Struthio camelus: one gene and its partner. The protein of the gene in region 1 binds, or shares a complex with, the protein of each later gene. Links are inferred from orthologs where the notes say so. Each region holds a gene or a part of one and is shown on either strand. Other genes may lie near its edges.

Region 1 (8,055 bases):
CCCTCCATGAATCCCCTCCCTATGGGTGCCATCCATGTGGGTGCCCTCCATCAGTGCCCCCTATGTGGGTGCCCCCTGTGCGGGTGCTGGCCTTGGGTGCCCCCCACCCCGGGGTGCCCCGCACCTGCAGGAAGCGCAGCGCCGGCAAGTCCTGGCTGGGGGGGTCCAGGGGGGTCCCCGCCACCCCCGGCCCCCGGCTCCCTCGAGGCGGCCGCCCCCCGTGGGCCCTCGCCCGCCGTAGCCCTGCCAGGCACCCACCATGTGGCACCTGGGACACCGAGGACCCTGGAGACCCCACACATCGGGGACCCTGGGGACCCGCACCCTGGGGACACCGTGGACCCTGGGGACCCGCACCCTGGGGACGCCAGGGACATAGGCACCAGGGGACCCCCACACTCCAGGGACACTGCGGATGGCACCCTGCACCCTGGGGACACTGGGGACATGGGCACCCAGGGGACGCCAGGGACACAGCACCCGGGGACACCAGGGATCCCCACACCCGGGGACACTGGGGACAGGACCCTGCACCCTGGGGACACCAGGGACATGGGCACCCAGGGGACGCCAGGGACACAGCACCTGGGTACACCGGGGACCCCCACACCCTGAGAACATGGCACTCGGGGACACCTGCACCCAGGGACACCACGGACACGGGCATCTCGGGGACACCATGGACAAGGGCACCCAGGGGACACCAACACCCTGGGGACACAAGGGACATGGGCACCCTGTGGAAACAGCACCCAGGGGACACTGGTACCCACAGGACACAAAGGACACGGGCACCCTGGGGACACTGGGATCCCCAGCCACCCAGAGGGGTACCCTGGAGGTATGGGGCACCCATGGGCCTGGCAGGGGGGCTCAGGGATGGGGGTGGCTCGTGCCGAGGGGTCCCCGCGTCCCTCCGCATCCCCCTGCGTCCCCCCGGGCCCTACCGAGGAAGGCCAGGCAGGCGAGGAGGAGGAGGAGGAGGCCACCGGCACTCCAGAGCCACAGGGCACCTGCGGGCCCCGTGCGGCCGGCCGCTGGGGGCAGAGGCCACGGTGACACCGGCCCCGGCCATTGACCTGGGGAAAGGACCCAGGTGTCCGGGCCCTCCCCCCCAATCCAGCAGGGGACCCAGGCGTCCGGGATGAGGTGTCCTCCCTTAGCAGGCTGAGACCCCCCGCCCAGGGCAGCCCTGGGGCTGGCATCACCATGGGTCCCCCATGGGTCCCCCAGGCTCGCCATGGGTCCCCTGGTCACCCTATGGGTTCCATAACCCCCCATGGGTCCCACAACCTCCCATGGGCTCCCCAGCCACAGATGGGTCCCCCAGTTCCCCCATGGGTCCCTGATCTCTCTTTGACTCTCCCCACTTCCCTGTGGGTCCCAGGGCCACCCATGGGTCCCCCAGAACCCCATGGGCTCCATAGCCCCTCCATGGGTCCCAGGGCCACCCACTCCCTATAGGTCCCCTAATCCTCCCATAGGTCCCAGGGATACCCTTTGGTCCTCTCGTCCCCCCCATAGGACCCAGACCCCCCCATGGCTCCCTGGGTCACCTCATGGGTCTCAGGGACACCATGGGTCCCATGGCCCCCTTGGGTCTCAGGGCCTCCCATGGGTCTCACAGCCCCCCTTGGGTCCCCTGGTCACCTCATGGGTCCCCCAACCCCCATGGCTCCCCCAACTCCCCCAATCATGAGTCCCATGGCCACCCATGGGTCCCACAGCCCCGCCATGGGTACCCTGGTCACCCCATGGGTCCCACAGCCCACCCTACTCCCCCAAGAGGGTCCCATCCAGCCCTTCCAGCTCCCCTAAGACCCGATGCCGCCCCAGCACCCCAGTTCCCCCTGACACCTAGGACCCCCCGATGCTCCCCAGCACCCACCGGTGCCCGGGGCCGGCCGGGGCGCCCCCGACCCCAGCCCGCTGGCGTTGCTGTTGCAGAGGTGGCCGTGGCAGAGGCAGACGAGGACGGTGCCGCCGGGGGTGCCGGCGGGGCTGGGGGCGCAGGCGGGCGAGGGGCAGCCGGCCCCCCCGGCGCCCCAGCAGCCTGGGGACCTCTGCCGCTGTCACCGGCATCCCGGCACCCCCCGGACCCCCGCGGCGGGCACGGGGCCAGCTCGCCTTTCGCTACTTTTTCAAGGTCCCCGGCGAAGCGGCTCGGCCAAGGTCAAGCACAGCCGAGCGCAGGAGCTGAGCCGGGACCCAGGCGTCCGGCCCCCCCCCCCCGAACCCTGCATCCATCCCCAGCCCCTTCTCACCCCCCCAGGGCAGGATGAGACCCAGGGTCCTGCTCCAGCCCCTTCTCACACCCCCCAGGGCAGGATGAGACCCAGGGTCCTGCTCCAGCCCCACCTCACCCCCCCCCAGGGCAGGATGAGACCCAGGGTCCTGCTCCAGCCCCTTCTCACCCCCCCCCAGGGCAGGATGAGACCCAGGGTGCTGCTCCAGCCCCACCTCACCCCCCCCAGGGCAGGATGAGACCCAGGGTCCTGCTCCAGCCCCACCTCACCCCCCACCCCAGGGCAGCATGAGACCAGGGTCCTGCTCCAGCCCCATCTCATCTCCCCAGGGCAGGATGAGACCCAGGGTCCTGCCCCAGCCCCTTCTTGCCCCCCAGGGCAGGATGAGCCCCAGCCCCGTCTCACCTCTCCCCCCCCACCCCAGGGCAGGATGAGACCCAGGGCCCAGGCGTCCGGGCCTCACCTTGCACGAGCGCGTGGCTCTGGTTCCAGATGCCGATGCAGCACTGCCGGGGGGGGCAGCGGACGGTGCGGCGGGCCGGGCCCCCCGCGCCCCCCAGGCTGCCCCGCACGCTGGGGTGCTTGTAGGAGACGCAGCTGAGATTGCGGCTCCGGGCGCCTGCGGGTGACACCGAGTGCGGGCGAGGGTGGCAGCGGCTCCCGTCACCCCGCTCCCTCCGCGAGGGTCCCCGCGGCGGTGCTGGCGGCAGGGGGCCCCGGCACCCACCTGGTGGCCCCGGCGCCAGCCCCATGGGTGCCTCCAGCTCCGGCACCTGGCGCGGGTGCCCGGCCGCCCCCGCGGCGGGGAAGGACTTGGCAGGACGCGTGCGGGGGCCGGGGCCGCCTGGAAGAGAAATGGACCCTGGAGGGAGGCAGCCCCCGGAGAGAGGAAGAGGAGGAGGAGGAGGAAGGCGCGGGCTGCCCCCGCGCCGGGGAGGAGAGAGGGGCAGGGTGCCCCGGGTGGGGGGAACAGCGCTTGAATCTCAACCCCCCGGCGCCTGGACCCCCTGGGGGCACGGGTGGACCCGTAGCGGGGTGCCGGGTTCCCCCCACCCCCTTCCCCGCCTCGGTTTCCCCAGGCGCTCGGGGTGCCGGGTGCCTCGGTTTCCCCAGCCGATAACGGCAGACGGATAACGCTGCCGCTTTCGGGCCCGCCGCGCGTTTTCTTACCCCCAACCCCTCTCCCTCACCCCCCCCCCCAAAAAAAAATTAAAAAGCCGTCATCCGTTTACAAAGGAGCCAAAAACTACGTTTAATCTAGTCTTTTGTACAAAAAAATAGCACTTTGAAAACGTGTTTCGGACATCAGTACATCAGCCACTGGATTTAAAAAAAAAAAAAAACAAAAAAAAACCCAAAAGCGCGGACGTTATTACAAGGTAAAACAGTCTTTAGGCGGATCGAGAATTATTGCCAGTGTCGGGGCGGCGCGGGCGGGCTCGGGCGCCCCGGGGCCGCTCTCGCCCCCCAGCCCGCCCAGCCGCGGGCTGCTCTTCGGGTTTAAGGGGCGACGGTGGATTAAAGCTCGGAGATATGTGAAGCCAGAAACACCCGTCCCGTCCCGGGCGGGTAGAAAAGGAGCCGAAGCCGGAGCACCCCCCCCCCCTTTCCCCCCCGCTTTTATTCGCCCGGATATCAAGGCACGTTTTTGCTCCCTGCGATGGCTCTGGACGATGGAGCCGTTTCGGCAGGGGGATGGCGGGGCCCGCGGAGTAGGGCCGGAGCCCGGGGGCGGCCCTGCTCCGCCGTCGTGTCCCCGAATCCTCTGTCCCCCCGCTTCCCGCCAGGCGAAACGCCTCGGACAACTCCTCCCGGCTGCGTTTCCATAGGAAAATTAAAACTCCGTCGGTTAAAATACCGAAGGGATGATGGGGGGGGGGGGGGGGCCACGGCGCCGGGGCTGCAGAGCTGGCATTGGGGGGGCGTGGGAAATTTAACCCGAAACACCCGAACGGCCCCCAAATCCTCGCAGCTCCGGGGCAGGCGCGGCGCCAGGGTTTGGCACTTGATTCCTGGCTCAGCCTCCGCGGGAAGGTGGGCTGGGAGGGAGCAGAGCAGGCGAGCGGGCGACGCTCCCCTCCGGGCACAGGGGGGCTCGGCGGCGGCTCCGCCGGGACCCCGACAAGGCAGCGTTACCGGGGGGGGGGGGTTAAAAACAAAACAAAACAAAACAAAACCCAACAACAACAACAAAAAACCCCATGATTAAATTAAAAAATACTGCTTTCTATCAATTTCTCTGCAGCTTCCAGTATCGAGGGGGAGGACACGGACAGGACGCGCCAGGGGGATTCATAGTGCTTCACAGATTATTAAAATACAAATGCTTAAAGTTTCCTATATAAAAATATACAAATGCAAAAATATATATCGAGAGAGAGAGAGAGAGAGAGAGAGAGCGAGCGAGCGCAGAAAGGATCAGCCGGAGGAATCGCCACGGTTACTTCCTCCCTCCCTGCAGTTCTGTAAAAACAAGGTAAAACAAAACAAAACAAAACAAAACAAACCCCAAACCACCTTCGCGCTTCACAGTTTGGCCGGGGTCGCTCCGCCGCCGGGTTCAGCCCCAGGGAGCGGGCGGCATGTGGCTGGCGGACGCCTCGCTGTAGCAAAGCATCCGGGGCACCCAGAGCAGCCGGGCAAGGCGCCGGGGCCGCATTCGGGAGCTTCCTCGTGGCTCCAGCGAGACGACACTGCCGCGGAAAACATGCCGGCGCGTCTCGGAGCGAGGACGGGCCCCGGGCAGCTCTCCCTGCTGCCCCGTGGGGCTCACGGCGGCATCTCGGTGCACCACGGGGTGCCCCGATTTGGGTGCCCATGAGGTGGCGGGGCCTCGAGCCGGTTTAACTCCTCTCCAAAGATGTTTGCAGCTAGTCCGAGCCGAGCTGCTCTTTTGGCAACCTTGGCGGAGAGCCTGCGTCTCCCTTCCGGTGGCCCGGCTACGTCAAAGCCCCCTGGGTAGCCGAGCGAATAGAGTGGGAGCACGCGTCTCCGGGAGCGGAGAAAGCCACTGAGGGAACCGTTGGCTCTCCGTCGCCCGGGAAGTTTCCTGGTTATCCTCAGGCAGGAAAAAAAGGAAAAGAAAAAAAAAAAAAAAACTTTGGAGAAAAACATACAGCAGAATCGCCCTCGGTTTTTCTGCCAGGAGGGAGGAAGACACCGCGTGCAGGTGTGAGACGGCGGCCAGAGTTCACCTAACTCTCCCCAGGGCGGCTGTGCTGGCTTTTCCCCCCGCGAGCGTGCGTCCAAACCCCTGCTGAGCTTCCCGGCCGGAGGAGACAAATACAAGGAGTCTGATCTAACCACTGCAAACTCGGTGGGACCTGGAAGACCAAGACGCCCGCGTTGGCCTCCACCGGCTGCCCCCTTCTTTTCTGAATGAGCACCGGGAGCTCAGCAGAACGGTTGAGGTCGGCAGGGACCTCGGGACATCACCTAGTCCGACCCCCTGCTCCAGCCGGCTCACCTCGAGCAGGTTGCGAGGACCCTGTCCAGGCAGTCTCCAAGGACGGAGACTCCATCACCTCTCTGAGCAACCTGCTCCAGAGCTCCGTCGCTGTCAAAAAGCTTTTCTTTATGTTCAGATGAACGCTCAGTTTGTGCCCGTCGCCTCTCGCCCTGTCACTGGGCACTACTGGAAAGAGTCTGGCCCCGTCCTCCAGATACCCTTCTTGACACCCTTCCTTCAGATACTTCAACGCATTGAGAAGATCCTCCCTCGGTCTCCTCCAGGCTGAACAGTCCCAGCTCCTTCAGCCCTTCCTCATATGAGAGATGCTCCTTAATCATCTTAGCAGCCCTTCGCTGGACTCGCTCCAGTAGCTCCGTATCTCTTATACTGGGTGCCCAGCACTGCAGCCAGCGCTCCAGGTGAGCATAGGGGCAGGACCATCTCCCTCGACCTGCTGGCAACACTATTTCCACCTCCAAACTAGGCTCAGTTCAGACATCTGAGATGCGCACCAGGTATTTCTAGGACCAATGGTGCCTGCTCTACTTTCCAGCCGCCCTGGCCACAGCTTTCCAGCAAGGTTTCAGATCTAACCTTTCCGTACGTCTTGCCCGTGGACACCTTTCCGACAGGGCGCTCTCTCATCTCCGGCTCAGACCCGCTTCTGCCTCGTCTCACCCCACCATTTCTGCTTGGAAACAAAAACAGATGTAACGAAAGAGCTCAAGAGCCCCTTCCCATCCGTGCCTCCCTGCCCACCGCCTGCTGTGTCGAGCACCGGGGCAGCTTTCAACGGGTATTTCGGAGGCGCGCTGCACCATCGCCTGATCTCGGAGACTAATTAAAGCCGCCCCATGCGCTCTGCCCACTGGAGACGCTGGCTGCGAGATCCACCGATGAAATCCCCCAAAGGTGGCAGCCGGCAGGGCCGCGGGGCGCCGGCACTCTGGAGCGGAGCCGAGCGCGTCCCGGCCTCCCTGCGTCTCCTTCCTGCCGCGGGCAGGGAGCCTCTCGCCTGTTTACAGCCGGAGGTGGGAGGGCAAAGGGCAGATATTGTCTCGCGACTTGAGCAGGAAGAGGAGGGTGGGGGAGAAAAAGGAAGAGGACGGAGCTGTCTAGCGCTCCCAGTCCTCTCCCATCCCCTTGGTGGGGTGGGAAGAGCTGGGCACCGAAAAGAAGTAGAATTTTCCCCCCATCGTCCCCATCTCCAACACCCCCCCTTTATTTTTTTTGTACAAGCCTGGCAGAAGCAGAGCCGGAAGAGCCACATACAGTAGTGTTGGAAGAAGAAAACCTGCAAGGTGACACCCCGAGCTAACCGGGCCCCGGACGCCCCAAGCCATGCCTCGGCGGACGAGCAGTCGCCGCCGGCCCTGCCTACTGCTTCGCCCTGCTGCCAGGGCAGCCCCACGCATTGCTTTTGCACCTCTGATCGGCCCTGCGGCGGCCAGTAATCTCTTTAAGGTGGAAAAGTAACATCTCCCGCTCGGGAGGCACTGATCTCCCATTTAGGATTATTATTAAGACCAACGAAGGCAGAAAAATAAGTTTGCCTGAGGCCTTGAAGGACCTCCCAACCCGTCTCCAACCGTACCCCAATCATCCCAATGCACGGGGTCCCAGACCCTCTGGTAAATAGCTCGAGTGAACCTGCACAAAATCCTTTACAAATTGATTCCACATGTACAGTTTACGCTCCACCCGCGAGAGTGAGGATTAAAAAAGCCGGAGGAAAAGGATCTTCGCAAAGAAGACCGCTTAAAATAAAGACCAACAGTCCAGTGAAGGGCAGGGAAAGGGCAGCTGTTTTACAAGGGGAAAAAGTAAAACCTCACCCAAATAATTAAAAAGAAATTAAAGAACAACCTAAAAGCAAAGTGTACAAAAAAGACTTGGTTTTTGTTTTTTGTTTAAAGGTTACAATGTAAAATGTAATATAGCATCTGAACGACAGCTCGGGCACTGTCCGAACTGCCCCAGAGGGTCAACCTGTTCCAAGATAAGGCATCAAAGAGACCAAGGCCATGGTCGCAGCAAAATCTCTCCTCTCTCAAACGAACACATTTTATATTTTTATATATATAATAATAATATAGAATCTTTTTTTCTTTTTTTTCCTCCTTTTTTTTTTTTTTTTTTGCTAAAAAGTATTTCAATGATCATATACATTTACCAAGGCATGATGGCATCGAAGGCTAGCTACGGAGGGGCAGACGGATCTCGGGGAGGGAGTGGAGGAAGAGGGTCGGAGTGGGGAAATAATAATAATAAGGACAAGCCAAAATTAAAAAATATATATATAGCTCTGGCCTTCGTGTGTGGTCACCGGGCCCCGGAGGTCGGACAGCTCAAGGAGGG
Region 2 (7,266 bases), on another chromosome or scaffold:
CTGAGGCTCCAAGGACCAAGTACTGGGTATCCCTGGAGAGGCAGAGGCTCTGTACAGAGATGAAAGACACAGAAGCCCCTGAGAATTTAGGTGAGACATCACGGGAGGCAGGCAGTAAAATGAGCCTCCTGTTAAGCTCATTCCTGGCTCTGGATGCCCTGGGCCTGACCCAGTCCAAGGTATGGACAGTGGCTAACATGACCGAGAGACCTAGCAGTAGCGGGTGCCAGATGCCAGATGTCTTGGAGACCCTGGAAATGGTCATGTCCACTTCCAGGCCATCCTCAAGGCCAACTGGTGGCTTTGCGAGATGTCTGGGAGCCCAGCTGGGAACAAAGTAGGCATCCAAGTAGGCAGTGAGATCAGCCCAAGCCCTAGACACACTTCTCCCCTGCTAATGTGCCACTAGAGCTGGCTTTGCCGCTGCTTCCCCAGTCAGGCTGGAGAGCACTGGGGCAGCTGGGAGAGGAGAGAGCAGCACAGTAAGGGGGAGTTGTGCATCCCCCCAGAACGGACCGCCAGCCTGGGCTGTGTCACCCCCCCCTCGGTGCTCTCCCTCTGTCCCTGCCAGCAGCTTGGGCACAGGGTAACAGCACCATCTTCAGGCACAGCTCAGCCCCGCTGGCCCCAGCCACAGGGTGCTGCCTGGAAGACATGCTGGGACATAATTGGAAAGGTGCTGGGCCAGGAGTGCCAAGACACCTCCTCTCCCACCTTCCCTGCTAGCACCCCAGGCCGGACCCCCTGGCCCCGGCCACACCGGCCAGCTCCGTGTGGCTGCATACCTGCTCCTGGGACAGCCCTTTTCCCGCTGCCAGCAGCTCGGCTCTCTCCCCGGTGCCTTTCCCCTCTCGGCTGCCCAGGTAGAACAGCAGCAAGGCGAACCGCAGCTCTCCCAGCGACCGCCCCACGTCTGCCTGGAAAACCAGCTTAAACTGCAGCTTGGCCTGGGCCTCCCACTTCACTAGAAAGGAAAATACAAAAAGCGTGAAACAACCCCCTTCATCCGCCCGACTCCTGGAGGCAGGCCTGGAAGGGGCAACAACAGACAAGCACGCAGCTAAGGGAGGGGTTTCAGGGCCAACCACTGTTCCTACACAGCTGTTAACAGCTGGGGATGATAGAAACGGTTCCCCTCCTTGGCTGAGCAGGTTATTCCACAGCACAGTCACCCACGTCCACAGTCATTTCACTGTCCTCTGAACCAGCTGCTGAGCCAAACGAAGACCCTTGGTGGGACAGAGCTGGAGATGTTACTGATATGGGACCTTTTGGTGGCAGAGGAAGGGCAGAGAGCCTGGAAGTCCTGGCTGCTTGCCCTGAGCTGATCAAGTGGAAGCACACTGCAAATTTCCTTCCCCCTTCTCGAGGCAGGACATGGTCAGCAGGGCAGACCCTACAGCCCCAGCTAGCATGGCACAGCCTCGCTCTCCGAATTACTCCGGCAAATTTTCAGAGACAGAAGCCCTCTGGAAATCCCTTCTCCAATTTTAGTCCCTTCAATGGCTCAGGAAAATCCCAGTCATCGCATTGCAGCTTGGTTATCAACACCTGCAGCTGGAACACAGGGCGGCACTCTCCAGATAAGAGCCATATCCTCAGCTGACCAACACCAGCAAGTTTAGCTGAAAATCTAAAACCTTCGAGGGGGAGGAAATAATTTCAAGGCCAGGGAAACAACTGTGATCCTCTTGCTAAGCAGGAGGCCAGATTAAAACCAAGGATTGAACCAGGGAGTCCTCCCTCAAGCACATAACTTCTAATTGAAACAGAACAGAAGTGATGCATGCATTTGATCTACATGGGGGACTTAGGCTATAAAAAATACGTTCAGGTTCCAGGGCTATCAAGCCAGTATTAAGCATAAAATATTGGCATATGTTTTAGGTCGCTGAGATTAGAAAGGTTTACTCCGCAGCAGAACCGCTCAGGTCTGCTTGTCCAATTGTCTCCTCTCTTTTCCCTGGCAGATAGAACTGGTACTGGGTTGCATAGGAAATCCAAAAGATTAAGGCAGAAAGTGAGAAAAGCTCTTACTTTCAGAAAACGGGTACTATAAAAGCCACCAATACCATGGTACTTGTGTTAATCACAGCCAATGACAAAGCATGTTATTGCACACAGGCTGTCATCACTTTTAAAACTGCAGCTGCTTAAAACTATAAATGGAAAGATATTTTAATACACTGATCAACTAATTTTAAAGTGAATCCAACCCCACAAATTTAATTTTTTTGACAGCGTCTCTGAGGCCTATAAAATAACATTTGTCTGCCGGGGCACTGTGCTCAACCCCCTTTCAACATCCTGAGTCTTAGCTCAGGAATTTTACTTTCTTCCATCAGGAAAGCACCCACCTTCCTCCAGATGCAGCACAAGGAACCGATCCTCCCCTGGCTCTGCCAGGTGAGCATGGATGTGTTTCAGGGAGCGGAGGGCACCATGTGCATCCCCTGCCGGACAGATCCCAAAGGTTTCAAGATAGCTTTCGTCCCAGCTGGCACGTTGTCTTAACAGCTTGATGAAGCTACTTTCATAGTGGGTGAGAACACCCACGATTTCCAGGTGCCTCGGGGTCATTCCGTCCTGCTCCATTTTCACCCTGCACACTGGACCTTCCAGCCCCCCAAGTGGCCAAGAGTGAAGGCTAGAGTCAGACCAGCTTACGCCCCTATCTTCAGTGATCACCTGGAGGCATTTTGCTCCTGGGTCAGTCTTGGAAAAGAGGCGAGTAGCAACAGTCATCTTTGATCTTGCCAATGAGCTGGGTCTCACTCTCTCGTGTAGACTTGCATTTTCTCTCTTCCTCTCCTCTTCTTCAAATCCCAGCGCCTTTGAAAGAGGCAGCTCTACTTCATCAGTAGGGGAAATCCGTTCCCCAATGCTCCCTTTTCTTGGCAGTGCTACAGACGGGAGCAACAGCACCAGGCACTGCAAAAGCACCCTGAGAGCAGGCTTCATGTTCCCACTTCAGCTACTCCAAACTCCGTTGTCTTGAGTCGCTCAAATGCATCTCTCAAAACAGTTGTGCGGAAGGGGAGGACTGCATCTCCCTTTTTAAAAAGCAGTGGCCTTGAGTTGACAATGCACAACACACCTCCCTCGAGAAACTCAAAGGCTGTCATGCTCTAAAGGAGGGAGGGATGTTTCAAAGAAACTTTTCTGGTCTATTTTTGGGTTTGCATCTAGTATTGGAAATGTAAAAAAATTAAAGCTGTTTCCCTTTCGTGTAGGGATGCATGTCCTTGACTTCAGATGTTTTTTTAAAGGAGGATGGAAGTCTAGACTTGAATCTTCATGGGGACTGGCACATACTATTCCCATCAGTAATGAAACACTAGGAGGGAAGAATTAGCTAGACTAGGAGGAGTGGGATAAAGACAGATAATGGGAAGAAACTAAGAAGAAGAAGTAGAGAAAGTGCTCCCTCTCTCTCTCTCTCTTCACTGGAAAGCCACCTTGTGCACTGTGCAGTTTAGAGAGGCCACCTTACAGGGTTTTTTAGTACGTCTCTTCCTGAAATTTATGTTGCTTGACATTGCAAAATTACAAGAACACTTTTATATAAAAGAGTACCTTATGGGGTGCAGCTGGAGCCTGATAAATTTGAACACTTAAGATTTGATTAGATCAGGCCTTAGTAAGTCTCACAACACATGTAAATATTATAAGGATTCTCCCTCTATTAGATACCAATACTCACTATAGCATTTGGAATTACTAACGCCACTACCTACTTCACTCCAGGGAAACTCTTCCCTGCCCAAGATACCTTTTTTTGGTATTGGAGGGGAGGGGGGAAATGTACCTTCAAAAAAGTTCCAGCACATGGTCAGACCCTTCTCTGGGTTTCCAGGACTCCTGCAGTTGATTAAGGCTCAGGAACTAGCTATAGGACTCCATCCCAGGCAGGAATAAAGGGCAACAAAGCAAGGGGCTGGTGAACACAGACCTCTCTTCTAAAGGAGCTAGAACAAAAGATATGAACCTGACACACATGAAATTCACACAGGTTGATTCAGACATCAGGTCAGCTCAGCTTAAGAAAAAATGCTTAATACTGCATGAAAGCCAGTGAGAGTTGGAAATCCTCTGAGAGCTGGAAAGCCTCTGCCTGGCTCTTGACTTTGCGTGGCTATGGGTAAAAAGGGATCCGTATCAGGCCAGCAGAAGAGACAAAGGCTTTGATTCTTTGCACCAGACAACAGGCATGTAACTGAAGTGCTCTAGCAGGCACAGCCTCCCTAGGCAGTCACTGAAAAGAGCCAGACATTGGCTAAGAGCAAGTCTGGGGTCAGCCAGCTCAGCCTCTAGCAAAGTGAGGGCACTTTTTGTCCACAGAGTGCCCTAGTATCCAGCGCTAACTGAAACGCATCACTTAAATGAGATGAATCCCAGAAAGGACAGAGAGGAGAAATCTCAGAACTTTTTCCGCTTTTTAATGGGAATCACAAATGATTGTTTGAAAGAAACATTTAGTATAAAACACAGAGGGCTAAAAGCTTGCCAAAACTAATCTACCAGTGGGAGGATGTATACAATAAAAATCATATGCAATGACAGCAGGTGCTTCATAAGCAAACAGACAACATTTTATGAATTACAGCAATAAATTAAGATTTTAATATAACTGCAGTTTCAGTAAAGTCTTTTAACTAAACACCTCCAGAATCTCTGCCATCATCAAAGATGATGACAGCACCAACAAATTATTAAAAACTTTTGTTTGCAAACCCAAGCTTGGCATAAACAGGCTAGTGAGCACCGGGAAGGAGCTAGACAGCTGCATATCAGAGAAGGATGATTGTCTTTTTAGACTTCTCAATGAAACCTTGTCTGGCACTTTTCAAGGACTCTTGAGAACCAGTCCAAACTAATTCCTCAGTAAAGATGCTTCTATGCTTTTAGCTGGCAACACCTGAGCTACCGTAGAGTGCTCTGACACTGGCAGAACAAAAGAGGTTTCTGAAGCTGCACAACCAATGCATTTCTGACTCACTGTAACTCAGCAGGGACACAGACAAAACTGCATTTAGAAACTTCTACTTGCCCTACGTTCTGTCCACCAATGGGATTACTGGTACTACAGTCATAAAATAAAATAAAATCCTTTTAGGTGAGTCTATGAAGAGTCTCCCAGTCCCTGAATGAACTGCTTGACAAAGAATGTAGATGAATATCAACTGACTAACTGGCTGGTTATTTACGGGACACACGTCAAGCAATCTAAAATGGAGAAATACGTTGCGCTAACACAACTGAATTGTTAATAAATTGTTAATATAGTTACCTCAGAAGTGAGTGAAGAGCCTAGAGGTCTGCAATCATTTTTCTCCTGTTTGGATAATTTCCAACACATTACCAGACTGAAAATGTTTTCATATATTTAAAGGCTAAAGAAAGTGAACACACAGCAACACTTTTAGCCAAGACACAGGAAAACAGAGAGCGCAAAGCTGAAAACCTTTTAATGAACCTACAGGATATAGTCAAAATCACAGGCATATAAAACAGAAACATTTGTCTGAATCAGTTCTAACGTGCGTATAAAAAGACGCGAGCCAAAGAAGTCCAGTGGGACTGAGTCCAGGAGGGGCTTCAGTTGGAGGGAGGTGGAGGGGGGATAGTGCCTGGCCCCTCGGTGGGGAGAGGTGGTCTCATCATGGGTGGCAGAGGAGCAGGAGGAGGTACACCAGGTGCTGGTGGCAGCTGAGGTGGTACTGGCGGTGGTGGCACTGGTCCAGAGGGAGGCATAGGTGGCAGAGTCATGCCTCCTGGAGGAGGAGGTGGCATGGAGTCTGGCAGAGGTGGCCTTGGGGGCAAGCCATTCATCAGCGGAGGTGGAGGAGGCCGCTTCACAGTTGGGGGCCCTGGAGGGAGGTTTGGGGGAGCTGGGGGCTTCTCCATTTTGAAGTGGAATTGAAGGAAGAACTGCGGCGGGAGAAACAAAGAGGAGGGAACAATCACGCCTCGGGACAACTCTGGAACACCACACAACGCAGCCGCTCTGCCCATTCTGTCTCTGCCTCAAGGAACAAAAACTCGTTTTTTTTCCTCAACTATCACCTTCACAGATCACAGCTGGCTTTCTACCCTGACAGCGTTCAGGGCTTTCACCAGTCTTGCCCGGTATTTTAACTCCTCTGAAACTTGTTCCAAGTGCTATCAGTGATGGGGTCAGCGTCCCCTACCTATGCATTGGTGCCCTGTCCCCACATATGATACCTAGTGGGTAAACACACACTACAAGCTCACCACAGATACCTAGCTTGACAGTGAGAAGACTGAAATTACTTCTTTATGTTCCATATAGGAATTCAATTCTGCAGCAGCTGTACAAGCTTTGCCTTAAACACTGCACTTCTAAATCCACCCTGCCCCGTGAGAAACTTAAGGGACAAAGAGGTCTTGGAAGTTATATCTCGGTGACCTAGTCAAATCTCAGTTTCTTTGTTGAAACTATGAGTAAGAGGGACATCTCAAACAAAATGCAGAAGTTGCTCAGCAGGTCAACACTGTCTCCATTCAATACCAGCAGCCAAAGAAACTCATTTCACCTATCCCAAAAGGAGTCACTACGCAGTTACACTGAAAGAGTCAAGATTTTAGCATCAAAGCCAGCGACACCACGGATGTGTTCTCTTCCTGCATTGCCTTTTTCCCCAAGCTGCTCTGCCCTCCTGAGCTCTCTTCTATCCCTGAGAAAGAAGCTGTAATGCTCCAGCTACCTGTTTGGTTTCTCTGTTCCAATGGGTCCAAAATTTTCCTTCTGCTTTGTCGATTTCTCTGCTTGGCACCTGCATCAAGAAAGAATAAGGAGCTATTATTAGCACCGCCAGATTAGCTCAATGGCCCTTTTTAGCAATAGAGCCTGCAAGATAAGCACAGTTATTCCAGGCCTTTGTGAGATGTGCTAGTCTCGGATGTTATTAGATAGAGAGGGGGGCAGGAAAGAATTAAGTTACTTTCCTATCGGTCAAGGACAAGTGTGCTGGCAAAAACATCTGCACAAAGGCTGAGGAGCAAAGCCCAGAAGGCTCCTTTCTGTGCCAGACACCGAGAATTCAATGGCTCCCCAGAGCTCAGCATACAGCCTAGTTTTCATGCCAGAGTCCTCCACCAATTCTCAGTGGGGTTTAATGACTTCCAGTCATCTCTTCTTGACCCCCTCCCCCCATTCCACTCTATTAACCCCACAAAGGCTAGAATAGAGCAAGTCTGCTGCTCACTGGGAATTAATGTCTTGGAAAATGTAGGCGGGAACTC

The links.
Region 2: the proteins of AMHR2 (region 1) and AMH are in contact, whole or in part, in a crystal structure (PDB 7L0J), measured with the Homo sapiens proteins. The link is inferred for Struthio camelus from reciprocal best matches to the Homo sapiens genes AMHR2 and AMH. Residues at the interface, in NP_065434.1 of Homo sapiens: Gly31, Val32, Arg33, Gly34, Ser35, Thr36, Thr38, Leu39, Phe62, Ile64, Glu75, Met76, Arg80, Asp81, Ser82, Glu84, Pro85, Ser95, Arg97, Ala98, Pro100, Ser101, Leu106, Thr108; in NP_000470.3 of Homo sapiens: Leu471, Arg472, Glu474, Val477, Leu478, Ile479, Pro480, Glu481, Thr482, Tyr483, Gln484, Lys534, Leu535, Ile537, Leu539, Glu542, Arg543, Ile544, Ser545, Ala546.

What each region holds. Positions count from the first base shown.
Region 1 is NC_090969.1:3,345,056-3,353,110, forward strand, and holds the start of AMHR2 (anti-Muellerian hormone type-2 receptor), read right to left. Parts: upstream 3,037-8,055; 5' UTR 2,999-3,036; coding exon 2,974-2,998; intron 2,866-2,973; coding exon 2,710-2,865; intron 2,054-2,709; coding exon 1,858-2,053; intron 1,155-1,857; coding exon 1,132-1,154; intron 1,014-1,131; coding exon 948-1,013; intron 244-947; coding exon 125-243; intron 1-124. UniProt on the Homo sapiens protein: On ligand binding, forms a receptor complex consisting of two type II and two type I transmembrane serine/threonine kinases.
Region 2 is NC_090967.1:3,455,105-3,462,370, reverse strand, and holds the start of AMH (muellerian-inhibiting factor), read right to left. Parts: upstream 3,052-7,266; 5' UTR 2,962-3,051; coding exon 2,358-2,961; intron 965-2,357; coding exon 786-964; intron 50-785; coding exon 1-49. Other genes in the region: SF3A2 (splicing factor 3A subunit 2), read right to left, coding at 5,599-5,931, 6,729-6,797. UniProt on the Homo sapiens protein: Plays an important role in several reproductive functions. Induces Muellerian duct regression during male fetal sexual differentiation. Also plays a role in Leydig cell differentiation and function.